2 linked regions of the Elephas maximus indicus genome follow. The main gene of each other region encodes a partner of the protein of the gene in region 2 in a complex. Links are inferred from orthologs where the notes say so. Each region holds a gene or a part of one and is shown on either strand. Other genes may lie near its edges. The genes, in order: MAP3K20 and NOD2.

Region 1 (11,259 bases), on a different chromosome or scaffold from region 2:
AAAAAGTAGATAACTGGGAGCTCCCAAAAATCAAACATCTATGCTCATCCAAAGACTTCACCAAAAGAGTAAAAAGATTACCTAAACACTGGGAAAAAGCTTTTAGCTATGACATTTCCAATCAGTGCCTGATCTCTAAAATCTATATGATACTGCAAAAACTCAACTACAAAAAGACAAATAACCCCAGAAGAACTAGTTGGTGCCTGGCCACAACCGATGACTGCCCTGACAGGGAGCACAACAGAGAACCCCTGAGGGAGCAGGAGATCAGTGGGATGCAGACCCCAAATTCTCACAAAAACACCATACTTAATGGTCTGACTGAGACTAGAGGAATCCCGGCGGTCATGGTCCCCAAACCTTATGCTGGCCCAGGACAAGAACCATTCCCGAAGGCAACTCATCAGACATGGAAGGGATTGGACAGTGGGTAGGAGAGAGATGCTGACGAAGAGTGAGCTATTTGTATCAGGTGGACACTTGAGACTGTGTTGGCATCTCCTGTCTGGAGGGGGCATGGTAGGGTAGAGACGGTTGGAAGCTGGCAAAATTGTCACGAAAGGAGAGACTGGAAGGGCTGACTCATTGGGGGAGAGAAAGTGGGAGTATGGAGTAAGGTGTATATAAACTTATATGTGACAGACTGACTTGATTTGTAAACGTTCACTTGAAGCTCAATAAAAGTTAATTAAAAAAAAAAAAGACAAATAACCCAATTAAAAAACGGGCAAAAGATATGAATAGACACTTCACTAAAGAAGACATTCAGGAACTAACAGATACGTGAGAAAATGCTCATGATCATTAGCCATTAAAGAAATGCAGATCAAAACTACAATGAGATTCCATCTCACTCCAACAAGGCTGGCATTAATCCAAAGAACACAAAATAAGAAATGTTGGAGAGATCGTAGAGAGACTGGAACACTCATACACTGCTGGTGGGAATGTAAAATGGTACAAGCACTTTGGAAATTGATTTGGCGTTTCCTTAAAAAGCTAGAAATGGAACTACCAGATATCCCACTCCTTGGAATACATCCTAGAGTGATGTATTCTTACATCCTTACAGTGATGAATCTGTGAAACATTTCATAACATGGAGGAATCTGGAAGGCATTATGCTAAGTGAAATTAGTCAGTTGCAAAAGGACAAATATTGTGTAAGACCACTATTATAAGAACTCGAGAAATAGTTTAAAGAGAGAAGAAAATATTCTTTGATGGTTACGAGAGGGGGAAGGGAGGGAGGGAAAAAGAGGGGTATTTACTAATTAGATCATGGATAAGAACTATTTTAGGTGAAGGAAAAGACAACACACAATACGGGAGAGGTCAGAACAACTGGACTAAACCAAAGCAAAGACGTTTCCTGAATAAACTGAATGCTTCAAAGGCCAGCACAGCAGGGGTAGGAGTTCGGGAGCCATGGTTTCAAGGGACATCTTAGTCAATTGGCATAATAAAATCTATTAAGAAAACGTTCTGCATCCCACTTTGGAGAGTGGGTTCTGGGGTCTTAAACATTAGCAAGTTGTCATCTAAGATGCATCAACTAGTCTCAACCCACCTGGACCAAAAGAGAATGAAGAACACGAAGGACACAAGGTAATTATGAGCCCAAGAGGCAGAAAGGACCACATAAACCAGAGACTATATCAGCATGAGACCAGAAGAACTAGGTGGTGCCTGGCCATAACCAATGACTGCCTTGACAGGGGACACAACAGAGAACCCCTGAGGGAGCAGGAGAGCAGTGGGATGCAGACCTCAAATTCTTGTAAAAAGATCAGACTTAATGGTCAGACTGAGACTAGAAGGGCCCAGGAGGTTATGGTCCCCAGACCTTTTGTTAGCCCAAGGCAGGAACCATTCCCAAAGCCAACTCTTCAGACAGGGATTGGACTGGACAATGGGATAGAAAAAGATGCTAGTGAAGAATAAGCTTCTTTGATCAAGTAGACACTTGAGACTATGTTGGCATCTCCTATCTGGAGGAGATATGAGAGGGCAGAGGCGGTCAGAAGCTGGTGGAATGGACATGAAAATAGAGAGTGGAGGGAAGGAGCAGGCTGTCTCATTAGGGGGAGAGCAATTAGGAGTATATAGCAAGGCGTATATAAATTTTTGTATGAGAGACTGACTTGATTTGTAAAGTTTCACTTAAAAAAAAAAAAAGCACAACAAAAATTTAAAACCAAAAGCAGTTACAACAGTACGTCAGAAAAGGATGTGGAATGAGGGATATCATTGCTTATGTCACATGGATCTTGACTGAAAGCAGAGAATATCAGAAAGATGCTTACCTTTGTTTTATTGACTATGCAAAGGCATTCAACTGTATGGATCATAACAAAGTATGGATAACATTGCCAAGAGTGGGAATTCCCGAACACTTAATTGTACTCATGAGGAACCTGCACTTAGACCAAGAGGCAGTTGTTTGAATAGAACAAGGGGTTAGTGCATGGTTTAAAGTTAAGAAAGGTGTGCATAAGGGTTATATCCTTTCACCATACTTATTGAATCTGTATGCTGAGCAAAGAATCCGAGAAGCTGGACTATATGAAGAGGAACACAGCATCAGGACTGGAGGATGACTCATAACCTGTGATATACAGATGACATAACCTTGCTTGCTAAAAGTCAGGAGGGCTTGAAGCACTTACTGATGAAGATCAAAGACTACAGCCTTCAGTATGGACTACACCTCAACATAAAGAAAACAAAAATCCTCACAACTGAACCAAGAAGCAACATCATGATAAATAGAGAAAAGACTGAAATCAAGGATTTCATTTTATTTGGATCCACAATCAACGCCCACAGAAGCAGCAGTCAAGAAATCAAATGACGCATCACATTGGGCAAGATTGTTATAAAAGACCTCTTTAAAGTGTTAAAAAGCAAAAATGTCACCTTGAGGCCTATGGTGTACCTGGCCCAAGCCAGGATATTTTCAATCACCTTATATGCATGCAAAAGCTGGACAATGAACGAGGAAGACTGAAGAAGAATTGATGCCTTTGAATTATGGTGCTGGCGAAGAATATTGAACATACCATGGACTGCCAGAAGAAAGAACAAACCTGTCTTGGAAGAAGTACAGCCAGAATGCTCCTTAGAAATAAGCATGGTGAGACTTTGTCTCACATACTTTGGACATGTTATTAGGAGGGGTCAGTCCCTGGTGAAGGACATCATGCTTGGTAGAGGGTCAGAGAAAAAGGGGAAAGTCTCAACAAGATGGACTGACACAGTGGCTGGAACAATGGGCTCAAACATAGCGACGATTGTTAGGATGGCGCGGGACCAGGCAGTGTTTTGTTTAGTGTTTGTACACAGGTTTGCTGTAAGTTGGAACTGATTCGATGGCACCTAACAACAACAATTGGTTAGAATTAACCAAAATGATTTCAAAAAGATTGGATAGTTTGAAAGAATAGAGTCAGTCACAGGAAAAGGCATTGGACAATACGTTTAGGGGCCAAAGAAATCTGCATAGTCATATGGAAGCAAGTAGCTTAATGAAAGAAAATTAGACTTGTGGCAATTAGTTCATCACACAATTTTTATGTATTTATTTCAGCTATGGACAGATATAATAGAAGATAAGAATAGCCTCAAGGAATTTGCAGTCTAATTACGAAGACCCGAGAATGCCTACCAGATTATTGTTAAAGCATGTTTGTGAGACTACTCTACAGTGTTTATTGTTCTTGCTGGCTATTCTCTTAGCCTAATAATGTGGGGAAAATAGAATAAAGGAGAAGTAGATGGGAAGGAAGGGGAATGTGGCTAAGAAACATTAAGACTCTTATGGCATGCAGGCCAAACTTAAAGCAATACATCCATGGTTTTAAAGCTGGAAACTGCAAGTCTCTTATTTTGCAGACAAGGAAACTGGGGCCTGTCTAGCAAAACTTCCCAGCTGTTCAGTGGCTGGACTCAGGACCTTCCTTGACCTGCAGCCTAGTGTCCTTTCTGTCACAATAAAGTGTCCTTGAAGGTGAAATAAAATGATTGAAGTCTCCTTATACCTGGGTCTAAAGAGCTTTAGTTTTCCCTTTGATGGTTGGATGGTTTTTAAGAATTACTTGATTACCTAAATCAGGAATTCTTTTTTTGTATAACAGTTTTCATGAATCCTCATACCTTGGTTATGAAAACAGAAAACTATTAATGCTAAAATTCCCAGTCCTTATCAAAGAGAAAATTCAATAATTAATGTGAGTAACAGACTAGAAATTTTTTAACATATATTCACCAATCCCTCCACTTTCATGTCTTGAACCTATACGATGATTTGCAAATTTTATATTTCCCACCTGTCCTCTTTTATGAATTTCAGTTTCATGTTTCAGCCACCACATCTTTACCTGTTTTCCTCCCATGACCTAGAACTCAACATGAAGCCAGCCAGCTTCCCCTCCACACATCACTATTTCTGTCAATGACACTATCATTCTTCCAGTCATGCAATTTTGATCTTGGCATCATCTCTGGCTCTTCTTGTCTTCCACATCTATTGGGTCACTAATTTCAGTGGCCTCTTGCTGAAAAATCTCTCTCAACTCCATTTCCTCTTTTCTAATCCCATTTGGTACACTCTAACCTAGGCTCTCATAATCCTGTAACTGCTTCCCAGTTTTGCACTAGCAACCCACCCTGCAACCGTTGTAGGAAGAACGTACCCGTTGCCGTGGAATCAGCACCGACTCACAGCAACCCTACAGGACAGAATAGAACCATCCCATAGGGTTTCCAAGGAGGGGCTGGTGGATTTGAAATGCCAACCTGTTGGTTATCAGCTGAGTTCTGAACCACTGTGCCACCAGGGCTTCTCTAAAACATCATCAGAACAAAAACTTTATTCTCTTGTTTCTGACTTTCCACAGTTTCCCTGTAACCAGGGAGTGTAAAATTCAAATTCAAAACCCAGAATACGTGACCTATACCTTTGCAACCTCAGCTCACACTTTCCTCCACAGAACCATCCTCCCCCAATCAACAGTCATTTTTCTTCCCAATACCCATTCCCACTTTTTGCCCACATCCGAAATGGATTCTAGTTCCCTCATCTGATTTCTGCTCTGTTAAAACCACCAACCAGAGCAGTAGACCATGACCCTTCCTCGAAATTCGAGAAGGTACCTACTGTTGGTTCTACCGAAGCAGCCTTCATCCCTATCTCCTCAGGAATATCTTTGTATGTCTACTCCCTTCCCAATTTAACTTCTGTAGGACAGTAAGTAGTCTCCTATCTCTTTGTATCCTACTGCCTATCGCCACAGTAAATGTTGATGAGAACTGCCTTGATGGAATTGGTAGTGTTACTACCAACAAGATGGTAAGGTACAAAGGGGCGAAGAAGTCACTCCGCCCCCTTCCCCCCCCTCCGCCGTTCTCCCAACTACAGGGCAGGTGCACTTTGAGGACAGGGAAGTCCCCTAACAGCCCCCCGGGGGGCGCGCAGACGTCCTCGGTGGGTTCCTGGGCGGATCGCAGGCCTCGGTGATGAAGGCCCCGGAGGCCAGAGTTCGTTCCCCACGCCCGGCTTGCTGGCGTGTGTGAGCGGCTGCCGGGTAGGCGGGCGTGCCAGGCGAGGGCAGGGGGATTCCGCGGTTTCGCGGTTCCGCGGTCGGAGGTAGGTGGTGCTGTTGCTGTGACTGTCTTCCTCATTGGCGCCGGGCGGAGAGGCGGAATGTTCAACTCCTGACTCGGCGGAAGCGTGGAAGCTGCGCGGGCCGCCGTCCTCCCGGCCCTCTGCCGCCGTCCTCGCTGCGCGCGGGGCCTCCGCGCCCAGCTGCTGCTCGCGCCCGGTCGGGGAGCCAGGTAAGGGCCAGGCTGGAGGCCGCGGAGGCCAGGGAGGGAGGGAGGCAGGCCCGCCGCGCTCGCGAGTTGCCCCATCGTCTCGGGGCCGAGGCCCAGTTGGAGGCCGGAGTCCAGCGGGCCTAGGGGCGCCCCACAGGGCACCCCTTCCCGGGCCGGGCTCCGCCCAGGCGGTAGCGGCGGGAGTGAGCGTTCCCGGCTTTCGCGGAGCTCAGTGCTGGACCTCCGCAGCTCCGCGACCAAGTGCAGCTCGGGGAAGTTCGGGCCCGACAGACGGAGAAGTTGGCGCCGGAAGAGCGGGACGCAGTCCCGAGCGTCTCAGGCTTTCTCGGCCCTGGGCATGCAGCGCGGTCGTGGGACGCCTCGTCGCTCGCGGCGCTCCTCCTCCCGGGCCTCGCTTCCCATCGCAGAACACGGGGCCCGGCCGGCCGAGCCCTGGACCCCGGGGCGGGTAGCGCCGGACAGCCGGTTTGCAGGGGCGAAACGCGGACCTCCCAAATCAGGGCAGGATGCAGACCATTTCCCATCAGAGGTCTGTGCGTGCGAGCAGAGACGCCTAACTTCTGCTTTCTAGGGCACTCGGCCCAGAGTGGTATTTCCCACCGACAGTGACGGCTCCCTGCCCTTCCTGAGGCGTCCTTGAGCAACCTGGAGCTCGCAATCGCCCGCACACTCGAACTTCCCCACTTTACTTCCACGAGAGCAGAGGGGATCCCCTTGACTGACCCCTTGGAGGCCCCGGTTTCGTGCACGCTGAGACCTGCCGCAGGCCCAGAGACGAACGCTGAGGCTGCCTCCACGCCTGCTCGCTCGTGACAGCTATCCTAAAAACTTTAAAGCTCGTTAGATGACATTGAATTTCTTGAAAAATGGGGTGCTATTATTAGATTTTTCGACTCGTTTGTTTGTTTGTTTTGGTATTATTAGATTGCCGAAAATGTATGTTCCTGATGCGCTAGATACCTGGCATAAGCACTGTTATGGGGGACTTAATTACTATTTGTGTTAGTTTCTTCAATAATGAAATCAACACAGTTTAGTGGCCTATTCCAGTGTTATTAACAGTAAGCAGCTTGCAATACTGGTGTGTTAGAATCGTATTACAGAATTAATTTGAGGATATCTGAGTTAATATTGTTAAAGTAGACTTCTGTATTCACCCTAGAGCTGTTGTAGGAGAGCCTTCTGGCTTTCCTGACATTAACTAAAGTGAACAGCCAGGATTCAGTGGATCTAGACCTGCAACATATTTTAAGACAGGATTAGACAAGTGAGTCAAGGCCAGTTAATGACGTCTTTGTAATGGGACCATCTCTACAATGAAATTTCTTGCTGTTTTTTCATTTTAAAAAACGTATGTGATAGTGGCATTTAAATTATGGTTTTAGTCATTTGTAGAGCTTTTGTTTGCATTCCTGCTACAGTAGTGAGAGACTTGGGAGATTGCAAATGAATGTGAATTTAGTTTGTTTGGAAAGAGAATTCAGATAAAGAAAAATGGTCTTTTGGAGCTGTGTGTACTGCTAATTTTAATCTTTAACACTCTGATTCCTACTATAACTTTTTGGGGTTATTTTGGGAGTTTTTTGTTTTTTTATATATAAGCTGGAAAATATTGTTTAAATCCAAAGTTTTAGCAGTTATATTTCCAGGTAAGTGACCATAATGCAATGGCCAGGACATTTTTTTTCCTTGTCCAGGAAAGCAAATAGATGGTTGATCTCTTTTTCTAATTCTTTTAGGGAACACTTAGGTCACATTAAAGAGAGAGAGAGAGTAATATCCAAATATTAAGAATTTGGATCTAAAAATGGATGGTCAAAGATCTTGGGAACTAAGGGACCTTCTTGCCAAAAACAGAAACTTGGCAAGTTGCACTGTATATTTTAAGTCAGTACAAGAGTAAGTGTTATTGGCAATACATTGGCTGAGTGCTTATCTGGAATGAGTAGTGAAACTGACTTTGATAGGGCTACAAAACTGTGAACTGAAGTCATGAGGGGCATGGAGTGAATAATCCATTCATCAGAGAAGACACTTGAGAAATTACAATGACGTTTCTTGAAGAGTTCAGACATAAAGTGAAGCTATTAGTGTGGAGTTGAAAGAGCAAATGGATAGTTGATTCTGGAAATTGATAGATTCAGAGATGAGAAGGAGAGAATCTTTTTTTTTTTTTTCAAACAAGAAAAAAGTGTGCACGGTGATACAGTGTTGCTTGGAATAAGATTTTTAATATCTGTATCCTGAGGTGTAGGAAATAAAAATCAACCTGGATCATTTGTTTTCCATTTTATTCCACCCAGGAAAGATTGACAGGGAGGGTACCTTGTGTATCTAAATGTAATAGGAAGAGCTAAGGCACCTTTTGTTCTTACTACAGGGAAGATGAGGCTAATTGTCTTGTGTCTATTAGCCCTGCCCCACTGCACACAAATAAGCAGAGTTCCAGCTGTGGCCAGAAAACTGTACCTGTTAAGGGAAGAGAGCTATAATGCTAGCGCTTAGGTTGGTTTGATTGATACATGGGTGCTTTTGTGTGAAACACTGCTATGGACAGCAGAAGCATCGATTATGCCCCAAAAGTGGTTAAATAGTCCCTACACAGTAGAAGAGTCTGTGGGAGCAAAGCAGCCGCACATTTCACACCCTAACCCCAGCATCACAATTCCTAATAGGAAATTAAAGCCTCATTGAACTTAGGTGGATGCTAAGCAATCTAGCAATTACTGTAATAAGAAAAGGTCTGCTTAAAGTGGTGGTGGAGGAGGGAGGGAAATCAGAAGAAAGAGGCAGAATGAGATATAGTGGAAAAAGACTGATATGGCATGGTGGAAAAAATGATTATGACTTGGAGTCAGACCTGAGTTTGAATCCCAGTTGTACCACTTGTACATATGTAGCTTTCACACCCTTGATCCTTCGTTTCCTCAGATAGGAATTGGGGACAGTAATAGCTGCTTTATAAGGATAAACCTATGAGACATCACATGGATATGCTTGAACTAATGCCTGGAGCTTCAGCCACCATAGCTGAGTAGTGGAGAAGGCTGCTTTTCCACATTTCTCACAGTTTACACAGAGAAGGATATATCCAGCTGGGGCTTGCTCTTGGTAGCCTGCCCTGTCCCTATATCATACATATGTGTGTATGTAGGAGGTGGGACCTTTTCATAGTTAAACTCTCCTGCTTTGAGTTATAAGGATTTCTAAATTGGCTCTGTGTACCTCAATGTTTATATACAGCTTTGTAATATTCTTGAGGGAGGATCTGAAAATTAATGGATTTAAATATCTATATGAAAAATTTAGAAGTTGTATGAATAGGTGAAACTACTTAGAACGATTCTTAAAGCTGATTGTGAGCACAGCTTGTCTTCAGGGCCCAAAGCCCTTCTTTCTGGACTCACGTCTGGTCTTCCACATAAAAAAAAAAATATAGGAATACCAAAATGCGAAGGAAAGAATTGTTCTCTTCTACGTTCTCCCAAGATCTAAAGGTCATGGAGCAAATATTTGCTTATTAAACTTTTCTACCAAAGTACTCTACTGCGGGGAAGGATGAATGTGTTCCTTCGGGGATCTGTAAACACGACTATCGGTACCCCCACTGCAAGCAAGAACTCTCTTTGCAATCTCATTTTTTATCATAAAAATTCCTGTGGATTTTGCATTCTCTTCTATACTATTATTTTACTTTATTGATTAAGCCAGTACAAACAGACATTAAACAGATTTATTCCCCCAAATCTTAAAGTAAAATTGATCCTGGAGGATATGTGTTTATTCATACATCCTTTGTGCATTGCTATATGCTCCAGGTGAGGGAATACACACATTTGAGGAACGTAGGATTGGTCCCGATGAATGGAACTTCGTCAGTAAGTTCTGCCACCCGGCCCACTGCAGAGGTAACGCAATTTCGTTTTGCGGAGAAAAGAATAGGTAATCCGGATCATGATCCAAAGACTTTATTTCAGTGGTTCTACTGTGGTTTTCAAGATGAAGACAGCTCTTTGTTTTGGGAGTGGAAGGGGAAGAGTGAGTTGTAGGATGGAAATCTGGAGTGTGTCGCACCTTCCCAGCCAGTTTCGGCAGGGCTAGAAACAAGAGTTGAGTAGCATAGGACCTCGGGGTGGGTGGGAGACTGGCTGACTGAAATAAGCCTTGTTTACTTACAAGCGGCTGCGTCTTCCCGTCTTCCTCCCCATATAACCAGTAAACCAGTTGCTGTCAAGTTGATTCTGACTCATGGCAACCTCACATGTGTCAGAGTAGAACTGTGCTCTATAGAGTTTCCGGTGGCTGGTTTTTCTGAAGCGAATTGCCAGGCCTTTGTTCCAAGGTGCCTCTGGGTGGACTCGAATCTCCAAACTTTCAGTTAGCAGGCAAGAGCACATTAACCATTTGCCCCACCCGGGGATTCCCCACCCCATATACCTGTGAATTATTCTTCTAGCCAACCCATAGAAACTGCCCTTTCAGCATTTCCTGCTTTATTCAGACTCGGATCTGATTCTGTTCCTTCATGCCTCTAGTGGTTCAGCATAACATGCCTCCAGTTATTAAACACTAAAACCCCTGCAGTGAACCACGACATAGATTATACCTACTTCACGTTTTCTTTCTGGGCTTCTATGTGCGCGTAGACACATTTCCTGACAGCATTTCTGTGGCATAAGTGCCACTACCCACCACATTTCTGTCCCTCTTATATTTTACTTCTGGTAACAACAAAGAAGTGTGTCCTGGAAGTCTGTTTTCATTATTTGAAGTATTAAAGTACAAATAAGAATGCTTCAATTAACTGTTGTTGTTACCCAAAACCAAACCCGCTGCTGTCGAGTCGATTCCGACTCATAGCAACCCTATAGGACAAAGTAGAACTGCCCCATAGAGTTTCCGAGGAGCGCCTGGTGGATTTGAACTGCCGACCCTTTGGGTAGCAGCCACAGCACTTAACCACTACGCCACCAGGGTTTCCCTGTTGTTGTTAGGTGCCGTCAAGTCAGTTCCCACTCATGGGGACCCTATGTACAACAGGACGAAACACTCCTGGCCCTGCTCCTTCCTCACAATCGTTGTTATGCTCGAGCCCGTTGTCGAAGCCGCTGTGTCAGACCATCACATTGACGGTCTTCCTTTCTTTCGCTGACCCTCTGCTTTACCAGGCACGACGTCCTTCCTAAGGGACTGGTCCCTCTTAATAACATGTCCAAAGTACATGAGATATAGCCTGTCCATCCTTCCTTCTAAGGAACGTTCTGGCTTTACTTCTTCCAAAACAGATTTGTTCATCCTTGTGGCAGTCCTTAGTTTATTAACTAGTTCGTTTTTATTTTAACCTTTACTGTGACTGGAGAGTTATATTACCTGTATGTAAAGCACAGAAATAGGAAAAAGAAAAAAAAAAAGGAGACTAGC
Region 2 (12,012 bases):
TGTTGGTTGTTTATGTGTCTCCCCATGCTTGGCCCAAGACGGAGCCTAGATCTTACTCATCCTGACATCCCTGAGCCCAGCATAGGGCTGGGCCCAGCCCAGGCCTCTGGGAATGTTCACAAATCCAAAATCCACAGAGGAGGTGAGGGGCTGGAACACTGTGCGCTTCCTCATATGCTGGCCAAGGTAAACAGAAGGAGACATCTCCAACTCAGAATGCTGCCAACACATAGGCTGGAGGGCTGGTGTGGGCCTGATGGGAAAACTGAGGCAGCGAGGCTACCTGCGTGTCTGGCAGAGTGGGAGGGATGGTTTCCTCACTGCGGGGGCCGCTGCAAACCAGAAACTAAAGTCGGGCTCCCTGTCCAAGCAGGCTGCCTCCCTGTGCCCACTGCCCAGCAGAGGAGCCACAAGTGGGGGTAGGGGAGGGAGAGGTGGGCAGGGCAGGAAGAGCTCTGGGCTTGGCCTGCAGTGGTTCTCAGCCAGGAACATGCACAGCCCCCACTGCCAGCCCTGCTCAGGACCTAGGGACAATACCCGTGGCCTGGAGTATACGCGTGCAGAATGTCCATATCTCTTACCCAGACGACTCCTTTTCTTTCCTGGGCACCCTCTCTCCACGACCACCCATTAAGCTTGGGGGAACATCAGGGCCAAGCTGTCCGTGGGCAGGTCTTGAGCTGGACTGACAGGCCTGGATCTGTCCACAGACCCCACCACTGGGGAGACCCCGAACAGATGGACCAGAAGTCAGGGTTGGCTGGGCAACCATCCAGAATGAGGTTATTCTCAGCAGTTCTGACACAGAGGCTTGTGCATCCGCCATCACCCTCGCTGAGAAACCTCACCAGCGATGTGAGACACACCCACAGATGTCCCCCGCCCCACACACCCACAGGGGGACATGCTGAGAGTCACTGGGCCTCTTCCCAAACACACCAATTTGGGGGCAGCTTACAGAGGCTCTAGCCACAACCCACTCAGGGTAGTGATGTCAGGGCTCTGTTGTCACAGTCATCAGAGACTAGAAGGGAGGGATAGGTCCTAGACATGAGGCCTGACATTCTGTCCTCCCATCAGCAGATGGAAAGTCCCATCTCTGTCCCAGCCTTCTTCCAGAAACCTCAGAGTAGGAAGAATCCCCGAGGATCAACTCAGCCAGCCCCCTGACCCCAAACAGGCGTTGTCTTGTCTCATGGTAAACATCCGGGGAGGAGGACCTGACATTGTTGCAATCCTCACTAACTAAATCAGGAAGTTCTTCATAATGTCTAGCTTAAGTTTTTCCTGCTTCCCTTTAAATTGGGAAAAGGAAAAAAGATGTTCACCCACCACTTATTTCATAAAGGCTGTCCCTAAAATCCTGTCCCTTCCCTTCCTCTCTTCAGATTAAACAAATCAGTCTATGTCCACTGTCTTCTTATTTGCTTCATTCACAACTTTGGAGTCATTACTGCCCTTCCTCAAGGAAAGTGATCACTTGCCCTTCAGTTGATTCCGACTCATGGTGAGCCCATGTGTGTGCAGTAGAAACGCTCCATGGGGTTTTCAAGGCTGTGATCTTTTGGAAGCAGATTGCCAAGCCTGTCTTCCGAGGCACCTCTGGGTGGGTTTGAACTGCCGGCCTTCAGTTAACAGTCGAGCACGTAACCATTTGTGCCACCCAGGGAAAGTGAGGCTTGTGCAAAGAAAGGGCAGAGGGGCACTTTCTTGCTGGAACACAGGGTCAAGCCAAGGGAGTGGCCCTTGGGGACCCGTCCTTGTCCCCATGCCCAGTCCTCGGCCCTGGCACTGCCATCCTTCCTGAGACCGCAAGGCAGGCCTGGGTTTCTCTGGGGCCATGTGCCAGTTACAGCACTGAAATCCTAGCCCACTGCAGATGGGAGAGGAAGGGAGGGCCCGGGAAGCCCACTTCTGAGCTAGGCTGGCTCTCAGCGGGGTCCACATCTCCGCTGGGGTACTGGGCCCACCTCCTTACCTCCTCCAGACACCCTCCATTCTCTGTCCTCTTCACCCAGCTTCTCTCTCTAGAACACCATTTCTGAGTGGTCCTAGACAGACTATAATTTCTCCCATCTTAAAAGTAAAGCCCCTCGTCCTTTCAGCCACAGTCCCACCTCTCTGTCCCCTGTGCAGCAGGACTCCTAGGCAGTAGTTTGTATGACTTTTCCAAGTCCTCACCTCCCATGCATTCTGATAGATCTTTCGCCCCACCCCTTCCCCAGGCTGCTGTTGCCAAGGTCACCAGTGATGCCACCCTGCTCATGTCTCAGCCCTCTTTTCTCGCTCGCTCTGCCCAGGGTATTTGCCCAATTGTATCCTCACTAGCATCCAGGACACTCCACCCTCTGGGTTTTCCTCGCACCTCACTAGCTGCTTTTTCTCAGTCTCCTTAGCTGGATGCTAAAGTCCGGGAGAGTTGTGAATTTGTAATCTCTTCTCCAGGTATCACTGTCTCTCTAAGTGAGCTCACCTGATCTTATAGCTTTAAATATCAGCTACATGGTGATGGGAGCCCTGATGGTGCAGTGGTTAAGAGCTTGGCTGCTAACCAAAAGGTCAACAGTTTGAATCCACCAGCTGCTCCTTGGGAACCCTACGGGGCAGTTCTACTCTGTCCTATAGGATCACTATGAGTTGGAATTCACTCGATGGCAATGGGTTTGGTTGGGTTTTCATGATGATGGGCCTGGTGGTGCAGTGGGTAAGCACTCGGCTGCAGTTCGAATCCACCAGCCAGCTTTGGAAACCCTATGGGGCAGTTCTGCTCATTCGTATAGAGTCGCTGTGAGTCGGAATCAACTTGACGGCAACAGGTTTGGTTTATATGGTGATATGAGTTCCTGGGTAGTGCAAACAATTAAGTGCTTGTCTGTAAACAGGAAGATTGGTGGTTTGAGTCAACTGAGATGTGCCTCAGAAGAAAGGCCTGGTGGCCTTCCAAACAGTCACTGAAAACCCTGTGGAGCACAGTTCTACTCGGACACACACAGGGTCACCATGAGTCAGTCTACTCAACAGCAAGTGGTTGGGGTTTATATAGTAATGATGCCCCAAATTTTATTTCCCGACTGCCTGCTAGACATCTTCAGATAGATGTCTAATCAGTATCTCAAATTCTAAAAATACAAACCAGATTCCTGATCTCCCTCTAAAGAGCTCCTGCCACCAGCTTCCCCATCTGTTGATGGCAGCTCCAAACTTCCAGGTACTTCAAGCCAAAAACCTCGGCATCTTCCTTGACTGCACCCTTTCTCTCACACCCCATATCCTATTAACCCTAATGTCAAAAGAGATCCCAAATCTGAAAATCTGGTAATTTCTCACCACTGCTATGCTGCACCCTAAGCTCCATGGCCTCGCCTCTGAATAGCAGCTGGGGTCGCCTCGCTGGTCTTCCCCTCTGCCCTCACCGCCCTGGTCTATCCTCCCCCCCACAGCCAGGTAAACCAGCTAAACCCTAAGTTAGAGCAGCTGCCTCCCTGCTCCAGTGGCCTCCGTCATATTCAGGGTACAAAGCAACACCCTTACAGTGACCTTCCAGCCTTACACATTGGACGCCCCCTCTCCCAACCCTCTTGAACTTATTTCCTACTAATCCCCCTCCCCCACTCTGCTCCAGCCAGCCACACACACTGGCCTCCTTATTTCTAGAACAAGCCAGGCTTGCTCCCTCCCATCATGCTTCTGCCTCAGGGCCTTTGCACATGCCCTCCCTCCCCCCAGAGATCCACAGAGCTCACCCCTCACCTTCTCCAAGGCTTTGCTCAGTGGCCACTGTCTTGAAGAGGCCTTCCCCAACTACGCTATCTAAAACTGCAATATCCAAGCCCAGCACCTCCTGACCCTCTTTCCTGCTTTGTTTTCTCCGTAGGACTTCTCACCACCTGACACACTATGTATGGACTTATTTGATCGTTGCCTGACACACTCCTGGAATGTGAACTCCGCGAGGAACGGGGAGTTTTGTCTGTGTGCTTCATTGCTATATCCCCCATGTCTCATTCAGTGCATCAATAAGGATTTTTTGAATGAATGGGTGACTTTACTTTGCAAGGTTCCAGGAGGCACAGGTGGGACCCAGGTGGAAGCCGCACCCTGCAGATTTTGGCTAAATGTCAGGAGAGCCGCAGGACTCAGAAAAGGCACCTTGTAAGTAGGGAGCTCCCCGCCACCGGCATGTGCCACAGAGGCTGGGCCAGCACTCAGCTGGGATTCTGCACTTGGTGGGCGGGGCTGGAGGCCACAGTGAGCTAAGGTCCTTTCTGCCTCAGATCCCAATACACCAAGAGGCAAAGGGGCCTTGAGTGACCAGCAAACCAGCAGAGTGATAGGAGAAGGGTCGTGGGAGTGCCTCTCCAGTCTCTTTCACCAAGGGCCAAGTTAGGGGTACAGTAGCGGTGCTGGGGAAGGCTTTTGCCCTCTGTGCAACAAGGACCTTGGAGGAGGCTAGGCCACAGCCCATGGGGAGACAGAAGCTTTGGGCAGGGAGATGTCACAGGGCTGGGAGACAGCAAGAGAGGCAAGGGCAGACTCAGAGCCAGGGGTCCAGCTGCCAGCCCTCCTCCAGCTAAGGGAGACCCTCCCCAGGGGAGCTGGGGAGGCTTTTTTAGTTTGTGGGAAAGCTGGTAGGACCGGATGGCTGCTCCACCAACACAGCGGCAGAGGGGAGGGCATATGGCAGAGGGGAGGGCTCTGGACAAGCCTGGAGTGGGCCTGTCTGGGCAGGGGTGGGGGATGAACTGGGGTCTCACACCCACGGAAGGGGGTGGGGCAGAGGACGCAGGGACTCTTACGAGAACTAAAGAGCCCAAGGAGGTGTTAGGGAGCAGCTAGGCAGACTCACAAACACTCACAGGCTTGGTAAAGTTGGGGAAACTGAGGCCCAGAAAGAGGAAAGGACTGGGCAAAGAGTGGCCCCCACTGAGACCTGAAGCTGTTTCTGATTCCCATACCCAAGCGGGGCCCTGTGCCTCTGGCCTTCACATCCTCCCGCCCACCAACCACGCGACTCCCCAAGTCAGCTGGTCCCCTAATCTCAAAGGTTCCTGGGGGCTCTCGGACGTCCTCTGTAGCCGCAGACCGCCTGGGGGCTCCCCGCCCTGGAGACGCCTCCTTTCCTTCCGCCCCCCATCTACTCCTCAGAGCTCACCAAGGGGAAACCGAGGCAGCCCCTCTACAAACCCAAAGGCTGGGACGGCTCTGGAGCCAGGTGTCAGACTCGGGAGGCGGGATCCTCGGCGCCCACCGTCTCCCCGCCGCCCAGGTGTTGGGCGCAGGTGCGCAGGTAGCGCGCCCTGAGCCAGCACTCACCGCAAAGCCGCCGGTGCCCGGTTCCTCGACCCCGGCCTGGGCCACGATTCCGGCTTCGGTTCGGGCTCAGGCTGCGCGGGCGCCCGGCTCCGCCCCTGCGCTCCCCACTCCGCCCTCCTCGGCCCGAGCGGGCCGCACCCCCTGGGAGTGCCCGCCTCCCCGCCGGCAGGAGCTCACCTAGGCTGGGTGACTGACACCGGCTGGGAGAGCCGGCCAGCGTGTATCTCTCTTCCGTCACATTTGAACTAGGAGACGGACGAGGGAGTCTTGGAACACCCCTCCAACGCGCGCGCACCCACACACATACACAGTCTCACAAATGCAGTCACACACACACTCTCCCCCCACACAGAAACACACTGTCCCACACACTCGCTTACACACTCTTACAAACACATAGTCACACACACTCGCCCACACACACTGCCTCTCTCTGTCTCTCACACACACACACACACACACACACACACACACGGTGGTATCCTGTGAAATGAAAAGCTGTTGGTGTCAGTATTAATCAGTGCACCTTCAGGCAGTCAGTAAGTCCAAAAGAAAGAAGAGTCAGTAAGTCCACAGCCATCTAAAGCCTTAAAATTGCAAAGCTCAGTTCCCTGAACAGCGTTTCCGGAGTGTGATGGGTTACATGTTAGGTGACCCTGAGCCAGGCATGACATAGAAAGGAGTCATGTGACGGTGAAGTTCCTCTTTTTTCATTTTTCTTTCCATCTTTCTGTTTAAGTCCAGGAGAGACATCTCCGTTTAGTGCTCCTTGTCTAACACTGTCTAGTCTCCTCCACTGGCCACAATATCTGACTAGAATTTGATACCGCGGATTTGTTTTCATTAACTGTTTCTCAGAGCAAGTGACCTGGTTTTCCACTTAAGGTATTAATATAAAAGTTCCTTTAAAAACACGTGCATTTGCCCGGCTACCACCCGTGACCATCCTGACAGGGAACACAACAGAGAGTCCCTGACGGAGCAAGAGAAAAGTGGATGCAGAACTCAAGTTCTAGTAAAAAGAACAGACTTAATGGTCTGATTGAGACTGGAGGGACCCCAGAAGACATGGCCCCAGGACTTTCTGATAGCCCCAAACTAAAATCACTCCAGAAGCCAACTCTTCAGACAAAGATTAGACTGGACTATAAGACATAAAATGATATCTGTGAAGTGCATGCTTCTTAGCTCAAATACTTACATGAGACTAAGTGGGCAGTTCCTGTCTGGAGGCGAGATGAGAAAGCAGAAATGGACAGGAGCTGACTGAATAGACACGGGAAATACAGGGTGGGAAAGAGGAGTATGATGGCACATTACAGGGAGAGCAACTAGGGTCACATAACAATGTATGTATAAATTTTGTATGAGAAACTAACTTGAACTGTAAACTTTCATTTAAAGCACAATTAAAAAAAACATGCATTTGGATTTGTAAAAAATGTGAAGTCGATTTAAAGAAATATAATGGAGACAACTAATTTTACAGAGTGTTTACTAGGTGCCAGGCTTTAGTACAAGTATTTATGTATTATATGAATACATAGTTGTTGTTTTAGGCACTGTCTAGTCGGTTCCAACTCATAGCGACCCTACATACAACCAAACGAAGCACTGCCCGGTCCTGTGCCATCCTCACAATCGTTGTTATGCTTGAGCCCATTGTTGCAGCCACTGTGTCAATCCATCTGGTTGAGGGCCTTCCTCTTTTTCGCTGACCCTCTACTTTACCAAGCATGATGTCCTTCTCCAGGGGATGGTCCGTACTGATAACATGTCCAAAGTATGTGAGACGAAGTCTCTCCACCCTTGCTTCTGAGGAGCATTCTGGCTGTACTTCTTCCAAGACAACCATTAGGGAAAAGTAAATCAAAACCACAACGAAATACTACTTGCCCCACTAAGATGACTATAATCAAAAAGGCAGGTAATAGCAAGTGTTGGCGAGGATGTGGAGAAATTGAAACCCTTCTGTGTTGCTGGTGGGAATGTAAAATGGTACAGCTGCTGTACAAAACAGTTTAGCAATTCCTCAAAAAGTCGAATACAGAGTTCCCGTACAACTGAGAGATTCACTCCTAAGTGTATACTCAAGGGAATTAAATACATGTTCACTCAAAAACTTGTACAGGAATGTTCATAGCAGAATTATACTTAATATCAGAAAGTTGGAAACAACTCAAATCTCCATCAACTGATGAATGGATAAACAAAAGGTGGTATATCCATACAGTGGAATACTATTCAGCCATAAAAAAGGAATGAAGTACTGATACACACTACAACATGGATGAACCTTGAAAACATTAAAAGAAAAAAAAAATTTTTTTTTTCTTACACTGAGTAAAAGATACCAGACACATAAGGCCACATATTCTATGTTTCCACTTATATTAAATGTCCAGGTTAGGCAAATCCATAGAGACAGAAAATAGATTAGTGGTTGCCAGAAGATGAGGGTAGTGAGAGTAGGGGGTGACAGCTAATGGGTACAGGGCTTCTTTTTCATGTGATGAAAATATTCTGCAGGTAGTTAATGGTGATGGTTTCACAACCTTGTGGATCCACTAAAAACCACTGAATCGTACGCTTTGAAAAGGTGAACTTTATGGCATATGAATTCTAGCTCCATAAAAAAAGTGGGTTGTCCACCAGGATCAAAGGAGAATGAAAAACACCAAGGTCACAAGATAACCATGAGCCCAAGAGACAGAAACGGCCACATGAACCAGAGACTTACATCATCCTGAGACCAGAAGAACTAGATGGTGCCCGGCCACAACCGATGACTGCCCTGACAGGGAGCACAACAGAGAACCCCTGAAGGAGCAGGAGATCAGTGGGATGCAGACCCCAAATTCTCATAAAAAGACCAGACTTAATGGTCTGACTGAGACTGGAGGAATCCCGGCAGCCAAGGTCCCCAGACCTTCTGTTGGCACAGGACAGGAACCATTCCCGAAGACAACTCATCAGACATGGAAGGGACTGGTCAGCGGGTGGGAGAGAGATGCTGATGAAGAGTGAGCTACTTGTATCAGGTGGACACTTGAGACTGTGTTGGCATCTCCTGTCTGGAGGGGAGATAGGAGGGTAGAGAGGGTTAGAAACTGGAAAAATTGTCACGAAAGGAGAGACTGGAAGGGCTGACTCATTAGGGGGAGATCTCGTAAGTGGGAGTATGGAGTAAGGTGTATATAAGCTTATATGTGACAAACTGACTTGGTTTGTAAACGTTCACTTAAAGCTCAATAAAAATTATTAAAAAAAAAAAAAGTGGGTTGTAAAGTGTTTCGTGTAGTATGCTCCTATTATGTTATCTGTAACATAAACCTATTAATATATGCATTGAAAAATCCAAAAGATTATCCTTTCAAATTCATGGTTGGGTTGTAAGTGGATTTTTTAGCTTTTTATTGTTGTTGTTAACCTGTATTTTATGCTTAACCTGTGTATAGGCATACACCGTTATTGTTGTTGTTGTTAGTTGCTATTGAGTCAATGCTGGCTCACAGCGACCCCATTTGTGCAGAGTAGAACTGCTCCATAGGGTTTTCAAGGCTGTGACCTTTTGGAAGCAGTTCACCTGGCCTGTCTTCCAAGGCAACTCTGGGTGGGTTCAAACTGCCGACATTTCTGCTAGTTGAGCACTTAACTGTTTGTGCCACCCAGCGCCTCCAAGCATGTGTTACTTGCAAAATAATAATCTTCAGAAAGCTTTCTCTTCAATGAGCTAAGGAGCATCTCCCTGGCTGCAGAGCCCTATCCTAGAGATGGCAATTGGGATCCTAGTGACTTTTCTGCCCACAGGTTCTCTGTCCTGGGTACCGGGGGGACAAAGCCTCCGGGCCTGGGCCTTTCCTCTTCTAGGGAAATCTTCTAGGTTGTGACATTTAAAACTCTCCGGGGCGGGGTGGGGGGAAGGTTGGCAGAGGAGCAGGTTTGCCGGCTACCTGTGCACGAGAGCTGCCCCCAGGAGCCAGGACTGTTTCCAGCAGACCCAGGCCCAGAGCCAGCTGCTGCCAACCCAGAAGGTGACCCCAGGCTTGCACTAGGTGACTGTCTCTCTGCCGGTCTCCTGTTCCAGGCAGCCCAGAACAGGCCCCTCCCCACCCACCAGAGTCCAAACTCCTGTACAACCAGGCCCAAATGAGTGAATTTGGGGATGATCTTCCCACTACCCACTCTCAGCCACACCAGCTTCCTTACGGCTCTTGGTATCCCTACCTCTGTGCTTCTACTTGCTCTGTGCCCCAATGGGAGGCAACAGTTGGAAACAGAATGGATTTGGGACTCAAGCAAACCTGGATTTAAATCTCAGTTCTGCCACTTAGCTGTTTGCCCTTGGGCACATTATTTAAGCTCTCTTGGCCTCAGTTTCCATACGGTTAGGAGGGAATAAAAATTCAACATCTTAGATATTGTTATTTATGAGGAGTATATATATATATATATATTAGAACCTGCCATATTTCCTGGCACATACACCAAAACCAAACCTGCTGTTGTCAAGCCAACTCGTGGTGCCCCAGTGTGTTACAGAGTAGAACTGCTCCGTAAGGTTTTCTTGGCTGTTTTTTTAATCTTTTCTGGAAGCAGATCACCAGGCCTTTCTTCCACAGTGCCAGTGGGTGGGTTCACGAAGTGAGCACTAGGAAGTCAAAAGGCAAAAACCAGTTGCTATTCAGTCAATTCTGAATCACGGAGACCCCATCTGTGTCAGAGCAAAATTGCGGCCTAGTGGTGAAGGGCTGCGACTGCTAACCAAGAGAGTGCAGTTCACATCCACCAGGCACTCATGGAAACTCTGTGGGGCAGCTCTACTCTGTCCTATAGGGTCGCTATGAGTCGGAACCGACTCGACGGCACTGGGTAGTGGGTTAAGGTTTTCAATGGCTGATTTTCTGGAAGGAGATCACCAGGCCTCTCTTCTGAGCTACCTCTGGGTGGACTCGAACCTCCAACCTTTTGGTTAGCAGTTGAGTGTGTTAATCATGCGCACCACCCAGGGACTGTTGTTGTTATTAGTTGCCGTCAAGTCGATTCTGACTCATAGCGATCCCACTCAATAATGTGAATAAATTAGCATTTACTGATCATCTACTGTATTCCAGGCACTGTACATCCATTCCTCACATACTCCTCACAACACCTTTACGGAACGCTTAGGTGCAGGAGGCCCTTTAATTTAACCTCATGTTGCAATTAGGGAAACTGAAATTGAGAGCGTGGTAGTGATCTGCCCAGGATCACACAGTGGCCACTTGTCGCCCAAATGGCCTCTTCTCTGCATCCACTCACTCATTCACTCAACACTTTCTTACTGAGCACCTGCTGCGTGCAGGCACTGTGCTAGGGGATGGGGGTGGTGTGCCAATGTCCCTGCCATCGTGGCGTTTGATACGGGCAACAAACAAGTAAACAAAACAATGATAACTCTCCGAAGAGGGGTCAGGGAGAAGGCCGCAGGGAGGAGAGACATTGAAGCTGACCCCAAAGAGTGAGAAAGCGACAGCCCTGGAAAGAACGGAAGGAATCGCAAGGACAGAGCCCAGAGGTGTGCTCGAGGGGGAGAAAGTGGTTTAGGAGGGCTGGTTGTAGCAGTGATGCTGGGAGCGGTGAAAATAAGGTCAGCAAGGGAGGTGAGTGGCAAATCAAGGAGGCCTCTAGGCCCCAGTGAGGTGTTGGGGTTTCCTCTGAAGGTCACGGGAAGCTACTGAATGGTCCAAGCATGGGAGAGACGTGCTCTGACCTTGATTCTAGAAGAGGCACCTGAACTCTGAGATACCAGCATTCCCCTTCCTGACTCCCCAGTGGCCCTGCTCACCACCTGGGTTCAGTGCTGCACTGGGGGATGCCCACTCCTGTGCCCTCTCTCGATGGCAGCAGCCCTTGCCTGCTTTCCTCCACCGTGTGGACCTGTGTGCTGTAGAGGGCACAAGAAGTTACAAGCTGCACAAGTTGTCCACCACTCTGGAACAATGTGGTGTGATCTAGCACAGTTGAAGCTATTCATGCTCTAAGATCCATCAACTTCAACCTCAGAGAAAACACATGCCCTTAGATGCCCAGAGGGTGGCTAAGCATGGCATCTGGTCACTCTGGTCCTACCACGTCCTTTCTCCACAAGCTAGACACCCCCTCCATGTCAGGGGGTTTCCACAGAGGATCTCCTGCCCCCAGAAGAGGAAGCAGAGCCTACCACATGTTCTTCCCCTACGCTTGCTGGCTGCCTGGTGAAGGGGTCACACCAGGCATAGGGCTACAGAGAAGGGCTACAAGTCTCTCCTGGTGTCTCACAGATTCCAGGTCTGCACAGGGCAGGGCAGAGAGTGGGAGAGAAAGTAGGAAAGCTGCAGAACGCTACCCAGAGAGAAGAGAGACAGGGCATTCCAGCCTCGTTGTACACAATGCTAGGCCCTCTGTGACGAAAAGGCAAGTAAGACACTCCCGCTGCACACAAGTGGCTCACCGCTAGCAGGCCAGAGGCACACTATTCATGGTATTCGCCCTGAGCACTGCCCAGAAACAAACTCTTAAGTATGTGGATACTCCTTACGACAGCGATGGCACTGCAGAGCAATGGGATTGGATGGTCATTTCAATAGAAAAGGTCACTAGGTAAGCACGGGGTGGGATTGGAACTCCTACCTCACACCATACACAAAAATCTACTCTAAGTGCATTATTATAGAGCCC

What was found.
Region 1: NOD2 (region 2) and MAP3K20 share a complex: the UniProt entries of both Homo sapiens proteins name them as parts of the signaling complex. The link is inferred for Elephas maximus indicus from reciprocal best matches to the Homo sapiens genes NOD2 and MAP3K20.

The regions. Positions count from the first base shown.
Region 1 is NC_064824.1:71,226,145-71,237,403, forward strand, and holds the start of MAP3K20 (mitogen-activated protein kinase kinase kinase 20), read left to right. Parts: upstream 1-5,468; 5' UTR 5,469-5,838; intron 5,839-11,259. UniProt on the Homo sapiens protein: Stress-activated component of a protein kinase signal transduction cascade that promotes programmed cell death in response to various stress, such as ribosomal stress, osmotic shock and ionizing radiation.
Region 2 is NC_064839.1:17,191,636-17,203,647, reverse strand, and holds the start of NOD2 (nucleotide-binding oligomerization domain-containing protein 2), read right to left. Parts: upstream 5,393-12,012; 5' UTR 5,314-5,392; intron 1-5,313. UniProt on the Homo sapiens protein: Pattern recognition receptor (PRR) that detects bacterial peptidoglycan fragments and other danger signals and plays an important role in gastrointestinal immunity.